2 linked regions of the Tribolium castaneum genome follow. The protein of the gene in region 1 interacts with the protein of each later gene in a pairwise test. Links are inferred from orthologs where the notes say so. Each region holds a gene or a part of one and is shown on either strand. Other genes may lie near its edges. The genes, in order: N and dsh.

Region 1 (3,829 bases):
AATCGTTCCCCATTTATCAAGTCAACGGTTCTAGTGGAATAATTGACGATCTGGACACGCCCACTAATGCGAAATACGTGGTCCTTGGTTTTATAATCGTGTTTGCGTTCAGCGCTGCCATTGCTGTCATAGTAACCACGCAACGGAAACGCGCCAGTGGCATCACGTGGTTTCCGGAAGGCTGGTCATTGGCCAACACTGGGCCGCGTAGGCGGAGCCGCAGACGTGGCCCCGAAGGACAAGAACTGCGCAATATGGGCAAACACCCATCGGTCCCACTCGAAATTGATAATCATGGGCAAGGTCATGTGCCACAGTGGTCCGACGATGACTCAGATATGCCACAACCGAAGCGTTTCCGTGGCTTGGAGACGGGTTATGCGAGTGATCATACGGGGATTACCGATTACGAGGAGGCGGAGCCAAGGGTGTGGTCACAACAGCATTTGGAGGCGGCTGATGTTAAACCAATCTCGATGCTGACTCCGCCCCAAGGCGATTTGAATGATGTTAACGCACGTGGACCGTGCGGTATGACTCCAATAATGGTGGCGTCGACACGTGGCGGTGGCATGGATACGGGTGAGGATGATGAGGATGATTCAGCGGGGGCGGTGATTCAGGATTTGGTAGCGCAAGGGGCGGAGCTTAACGCTACCATGGATAAAACAGGCGAGACGTCGTTACATTTAGCGGCACGTTATGCCCGTGCCGACGCCGCTAAACGCCTACTTGATGCCGGAGCGGATGCTAATGCGCAGGATAATACGGGACGAACGCCACTGCATGCAGCTGTGGCGGCGGATGCGTTGGGGGTTTTCCAGATTTTGTTGCGGAATCGGGCGACTAATCTCAATGCAAGGATGCATGAAGGGACGACGCCCTTGATCCTGGCAGCGAGACTAGCTATTGAAGGGATGGTTCAGGATTTGATTAGTGCTGAAGCTGATATTAATGCGGCGGATAATTCGGGGAAGACGGCATTGCATTGGGCCGCTGCTGTTAATAATGTGGAGGCGGTTAATGTGTTGCTGGCCCATGGGGCCAATCGAGATGCACAAGATGATAAGGTAGGTGGGATAAGTGTTAAGCACTTTTTTTAATTTTCTCAATTACGGCTAAACTATTCGAAAAAGTGGCACTATTTTATTTTTTACCTATGTAAAATGATCCGGGGAATCGACTGGCGTCGACAAAATTGCCAAATTCCTAATAGTTTTTTAGTTATGAATTTTTAAAATTTTACCTATTTTCGATTTTATTTGCAATTTTCTCGAAAACTATTAGTCGGAGAACAATGATCTTTTTTGAAAAAGATAGATAATTTAAAGAGCTTTCTAACGATAATACAATAATAATAATAATTTCACCTAATTTCCGAGCACATTTTTGCGAAAATAATTGTTGATATTTTAGCGAAATTTTCTCCAAATCGAAGCGAAATAATGACGCATTTCACAGAGAAATTTTTAGTTTTTTATTTTTAGCAGTCGAAAGTGTTTCAAACCTACAATTTGTAAAATCTTTTTTTCAGGATGAAACGCCTCTGTTTCTTGCGGCAAGAGAAGGCTCATATCAGGCGTGTAAAGCACTACTTGAAGCTTACGCTAATCGGGAAATTACCGACCACATGGATAGATTGCCACGAGATGTCGCCAGTGAACGTCTACATCATGATATAGTGCGACTTTTGGATGAACATGTCCCAAGAAGTCCACAAATGGTCAATGTTATACCGAATAGTTCGATGATGAGTAAGTTTTTATTATATGAATATTTTTCCACCAATCAAAAAAATTGTTACAGCATCACCTAGCGGCCAATTACAATTACAACAACCAACAGTAATCGTCCCAAAACGTCAAAAATCAAAAAGGCCGAGTAAAAACTCAAATAATAACAATAACGCATCGTTGGACCCGACAAGTCCCGAAATGGAAACGATCAACACCGGAAGTATCCGACGTAAACCGAGCGTGAAAAAATCAAAGAAACCAACCCCACAACAAGAAATCCCCCAAAGTGTTGATTCAATAACTTCAACCTTAAGTCCAGTTGAATCCCCAATGACGACAAATCTACCGAGTCCTTACGACACTGCATCGATTTACTCAAATATGGGCCTAACACCACAAGGACTTGAGTCATTGATTAATAAACAACCACCAAGCTATGAAGATGTGGTTAAGAATAATTTACACGGTCTAGTTGGCTTGGAAAATTACTCGTTCAATTTGGGTAATTTCCACGATACGATGATGATGCAGCAGCGCCAATTACAACAAGCCAACACCTTAAGCCCACCCTATTCGAATCAATCCCCGCCCCATTCCGTGCAATCGAATATGTCGTTATCGCCGCAAGGTTATAACGGTTCACCATCCCCGGCCAAGACACGCCCCTCGCTCCCGACAAGCCCCACCCATATAGCGGCAATGCGTGCCGCCACCCAACAGAAGCACGGAGGCGTGCCACAAGCACAAAATTTACAAATGGGTTTTGATTTTAGTCAAACTGGATTGGAGTTGCCAATGGCGACATATCCAGGATTGGTAAGTGGAAATTTACAATTTCAACAACAAAACTATTATCTGACTCCGCCCTCACAACACTCCGATCTCTTACCGGATAATTTTCCAACACCGAGTCCGGAAAGTCCGGGTCACTGGTCGTCGAGTTCACCCCGGAGTTGTAATTCGGATTGGTCCGAAAATGTCGCCAGTCCGAATAATACTTATGGGGGTGGACATCAGACTAACAAAGGCTCGGATGCGATCTATATTTGAGTATAGAATTATATGCCAAAATTTACTAAATACTACGTGCCTTGAACGGTTGTTATTGTAAGATTTTTTATGACACAATTGTACATATCTTTATTTTTTATTAATATTATTAGTAGAGAAAGAGACAACTTAAGCAAGCTCCAATCACATGACATTCGATTAATTAGGGTTTTTTTATTTTAGTAATTCTCATTTAGTTAGCGTGTCTGTGATTCAGATATTAGAAAAAGTAATAAAAGGTTCGCTCGCTCGCTCAAAGAGGGCGTACGTATCGTAATTTTTGACAATTTTTATAAGACAATATATTTTAGAATAAATTGTTAATATTTTTGATAAAGATATTTAGGTAATTTTTTAAACCAGTTTTTAAGTACATTCCGTTGTTGGGATCAAGTTTTAAAGCGTCTTTCAAATTTCTGTATATTTTAAACCAGTTTGGAAGGTTTCTATTTATATACTACTTCCTTTTTTTTTAATTTTTTTATAATTGAATCCTTGTAAAAAGTACTGATTAGGCCACTAATGATGGATTTATTTTAAGGTTCTCTTTTTTTAGTTGAAACATATTGTACTAGTTGTTAAGTAAACGCAAAAATTGCTTTTGTACTATATACATAATAAATTCTTTTTTTTTTAAACATTTTTCCTAACCTCCAACTCAAGACACTTGTGTCAAATCCACAATATTAACAGTTAAATTAAAACAAAGATTGTTTCAATACGTGTTTATTTCTAGTTTTAATAAAATAATTAATACTTAAAGTAAAGTACGTTTGGAAATGTAATCAAATGTTTTGGTCCGGAAAATGAAACCTAACCCTGCCATAAAATAAATGCAAAGTATTTACAAAATTAAGTCTCCAACTTATCACAAAATTTGTACAAAATATTGCTTATTTATTTATTTTCCCGTCCATTCGCTCACTTTACCATTATCGAAGACGAGATTATAACGTGGCAATGGTACCAACCGTCCACGTTTCATAATTTCCATATTTTCACCCGGATAGTACTGTAATAAAAATCCCTAGAATAATTGAAAC
Region 2 (4,337 bases), on another chromosome or scaffold:
TATAACAAATTGCACTATAAGCGGTAAATTGAAAAGTGTTTATTAGTAGTTATTTTTATTTTACATATGAAATAAAACGAAATAAATAAGTACTTATTGTAAAAAAAACATGAATCCTTTGGGAAACAGTAATAGAGGTTGATTCAAAATGTTGTTGCATAATTTGAATCACAAAAATTCCTCTACAAATGATAATAAATCTAATGGTTTTTGTTGGCCTGTCTCACTTAATAGAAAAATTACAGCTTTCCAAAAAGTCGGTATGAAAAATAATTTTTGGAGAATATCTTCCTTATTGATTATCCAATTATTAAACTTGACAATGTAAGAGACGAAAAGACGCTCTTTAATGTGATGTAAAAGACGCTCTTTAATGTGATGTACACGGAAGTTGTACATTTCCGATTGCAATGCGTCCCTTCCAGTTTTTTGACCATAACTTGATTTTTCACCCACTTCTTTTATACCAAAAATTGAAAGCCCATTCATTTTTCTTTAGAAAAGGGACACTTGTTGCATATCGCTAAAATGTACCGTTCTCGAGTTATTTGCGTTTAAAGTAAACTTTATAAAACCAAAAATTATGAATTCTGAGTGTTCCTTAGTTAAGAGTTTAGTTCTTCAATATCTAGTACACTAAGTTTAAATTAGCAAAAACAGCTACAGAAAAACAAGTCATCTCGTAAATAATTATAAAAATGTAAAAATTTTGTACCAATTTTTTTTGTGGCGAAGATATTACAGAATTTCATTTGCTCATATGTCACCACCAATTAGTAAAGTCAACTTTGGAAAAAGCGTCCTTAATTTTAGACGCTGAAGTGGAGGTTGTACTCTCTATATCTCAAAAACTAGTAGAAGTAATAAAAGTTTGGATAAAATAAGTTAATTTATTTTGACTTCCTTGAGCTTTATCAAGAAATATTTGCACAACTAGCAAATTCGCACCGTAGTTATGTTTACAAACACATGTTTTTAATTATTAAAATGTTTTTAGTTAGTAAGTCAATAATCTGTTTATCAGTTAACACTTCTCTTGCGGCTTTGTCATTATCAACCCCAACATATTCCTCAAAAGTTCGTTATAAACAGAAAATTGCGTCAGATTTTAAGTCAAATTTAGTTCGTTATAAGCGGTAAAAAATACATTGAGCTTTAAGGCATTGGCAACTTAAAAAACAACTTTGTCTTAAGTGAAGACTAAACACTTATTACAATAGTGAAAACCGTTTCTCTGTAACTGCTCTTTAACTCAAGTTATTTCGATTTAAATTAGAAATCATGATGTCGTAACCGTCTCCAGCATTTGGTCCGATATAAAGATCAAATGGTTTTTGACTTTTAGGTGACACTGTCAGAGTTTATAAAGATTTCTCAAATCTCAATTTCTCAAAAAAGTTTTTGGTGATTGGAGGGTTCAGTGTTACGTTGTGACGTCATGATTTCTTCCTTTCAAAGCGATTATCTCGCTTATTTCTCATCGCGAAAAAATTTAAATAGAACCTAAAGATATTTTCAATTTCCGTTGAAACATAAAATACGAAAAATAAGTTGCCAATGCCTTCATGGAATGATTTTTTTTGGTGCTTGAAAAATAGTACATTATAGCCGGAAGTTCGTTATAAGCAGACTCCACTGTATAGTGATTTAATTACCTGGGTCGATAGGCCTCACTGGTTCAGTTCTAGGTATAGTGAAGTAGCCTTTGGGGTTGGGATCCCAGCACTTCGCCACAACCAGCTTGATCGGTCTGAAAATTGAATAAAAAAATTGGGCTTATATTTTTCTGATACCAACCCTGGTTTTTGGACCACTTCTCGCAAAACCCTAACCGCCTCATCATTTGACATATTTTCAAAATTAACGTCATTGACTTGCAAAATCATGTCGCCTGGTTCTATTCTACCATCAAGGGCGACAGCCCCCCTATAAAAATTTACATCAAATTAATGAGACACACAAAATAAAATTGTGATGTACCCTTTCATAATGGATCCGACGTAAATGCCACCGTCGCCCCCTTTATTGCTTTGCCCCACAATTGAAATTCCTAGAAAATTAACCGTGTCCATATTCAAGGTCACTGTTATAATATTCAAGGACATTGTCGAATCTGTGATGCTGGAATATGAGGATGTTCGTGACATTGCTTGCATTCGTTGTTTTCGTCGTCTTTGCGGTCTTTTGCGCCCCGCGACATGTAACCGACTCACACTGGAGCATTCTGAGAGGGCCGTGTGTCTTCCGGTTGTCTCAGACTGAAAACTTGTGGTCTCTAAATCGGAACTGACAATTGAAGCGGTTTCGTAAACTCTAAAATTGGGATTATTTACCACAGACTTATAAATATAAGTGAAAACAGTACCGTGGAAGGTGTCCGTTAATTCGTGATGAGTATTTGTGGTGGCGCCTTCCCTGTCTCGAACTAATGATACTTTCAGTGTCGGTGCAGATTGATTCGGGGGCTTGGGGGGGCACACGTTCCGACTGGTGTGTGACACTGTCAGTGCACTGTGAGCCCCCATCCGATTGATTTGAGCCATCGGCTGAAACTAACTGTAGGGCAATTAATGCGCCCCCTTCTCTAGCGAGCTAGAAACGTACCCAACTAACAACACGTCCGTTAAAACACGGCAAATGTGCGCTGTCGTCGATGATTTCCTCTTTAACGACTCTGCAAACGAATTGTTACGTTTTAATCACCCGAAGGGTGAAACACACGAGAGAATTACCCGAAATCATCGTCCATCGACTTGAAAAAGAATTTGTAATTGGGGCGATTTAACACATTTTTAAAGTCAGATAAGGTCACTTTTTCCGGCGAAATCGGTATCTTTACTAAATAGGGGGTCTCCTCGTCGTCTATGTGATAAATAACTTTCGTTTCATCCATTATTTCACTCGATTTTCGCGAAAAACTACACAATTTGACAGGAGAAAAACACTTCAACACAACATGGCCGACATCATTAAAGTCATCCCCACCCAAGGGGATTAAAGAGATCAAGACAACGGATAAGGGGGCATTAAACCCGCAAAGACGCGGCCCCGCGAACAGCCCCCTACCGCTAGTTACAAGTTTTGGCTACGTGGTGCAAAGGGCCCGTATATTTTGCGAAAATTGGTTTGTTGTGAAAGGGTAGAGTTCTTTATTACCGGCCGATTTTTTCTTGATAGAATTGTTGTAAATTGGCGAAAATGTAACCAATTTAGGCGCATGATTGCGAAAAAGATTAATAAATTGATGAAAAACACATTTGCGTTTAAAAATTATCAATCGATGTCTTTTGAAAAGTTGTTCATCCGATATTGTCACTCTAGAGCTGTAAAGGCGGTTGCATAATCACAATATTTTAGAGCAGTATTTTACTATGTTCATTTTACATATAGATTATTTAAAATAATCAACCGTTTAATCAAAATTTCGACCAAGTTCATCTCATGATTAGTAGAGACATGGTTGCGCCGTAACTCTTTGGAGGAGTGGGAGAACCGCCACGTTGATATGTCACAAGATTACAAACGTGTTGTTTACATCGTGTTTTTTGTGGTTTTTAATAAAAAGTAACGATTGTAACCCAGTGGTGATGACTATTAGTTAATAGTGTTGTTTAGCTTGATAACAGTGCAGTGAAAAAATCAGATACACCACTAGGAGGGGAATTTCAATTTTGCAGAACCAATAATAATTTGCAGATCAGGGCTTTAAAATAACCCTTAAAAACATCCCCCAATTCCCTAGACGCTAGTCACCCCTTTTTTTAAATTTTAAATGACACTCAATTTTTGGAATAGAAAGAAAAAGCTTGTCTAACCGTAAAAAAATGTTGATTTGCATTTTGAAATTTTTAGTCATTGGGAGCCTTTGATTTTAAGCCCATTTGATTTAAACAAACAAACAATTCAATTTGACTTGCAAAGGTAGAGGTCAAAACCAACATTAAAGATGTTTATGTTTAGGCTTCATTCCCTAGTCGCTAGCCACTCCTTTGACATTTTAAATACCGCCTTCTACATTTTGAATCATTATTAGAAAAAAAAATATATTAGAAAGAAGGGAAAACTAATCTAATTGTAGAGAAAACACATAATTGTAGATTTGTTTTTGAGTTAGGGGTGGTTTTAAAAAGTGGGGGGTACAATTTAAAGTTCAAATTAACGGGATGATGTAACCTAAAACGAAGAATATGCTAGTTTTAGACTCTCGCCTTCCATGACGAATCTATATGTTCTTTATTTAAATTAAATTGGCTTAAAATCAAAGGCTACTAGGTATTACGATCAAAAATAAAATTACACCTAACTCAAAAACTTTCCATAAGCTATGTTTTAGCTAA

What was found.
Region 2: the proteins of N (region 1) and dsh interact in a two-hybrid assay, tested with the Drosophila melanogaster proteins (3 studies listed by BioGRID). The link is inferred for Tribolium castaneum from reciprocal best matches to the Drosophila melanogaster genes N and dsh.

What each region holds. Positions count from the first base shown.
Region 1 is NC_087400.1:104,060-107,888, reverse strand, and holds the end of N (notch), read left to right. Parts: coding exon 1-1,070; intron 1,071-1,534; coding exon 1,535-1,754; intron 1,755-1,806; coding exon 1,807-2,786; 3' UTR 2,787-3,424; downstream 3,425-3,829. Other genes in the region: protein FAM91A1, read right to left, coding at 3,688-3,798. UniProt on the Drosophila melanogaster protein: Essential signaling protein which has a major role in many developmental processes. Functions as a receptor for membrane-bound ligands Delta and Serrate to regulate cell-fate determination.
Region 2 is NC_087401.1:8,565,149-8,569,485, reverse strand, and holds the start of dsh (segment polarity protein dishevelled homolog DVL-3), read right to left. Parts: upstream 3,127-4,337; 5' UTR 2,894-3,126; coding exon 2,733-2,893; intron 2,675-2,732; coding exon 2,605-2,674; intron 2,557-2,604; coding exon 2,366-2,556; intron 2,314-2,365; coding exon 1,981-2,313; intron 1,927-1,980; coding exon 1,798-1,926; intron 1,751-1,797; coding exon 1,656-1,750; intron 1-1,655.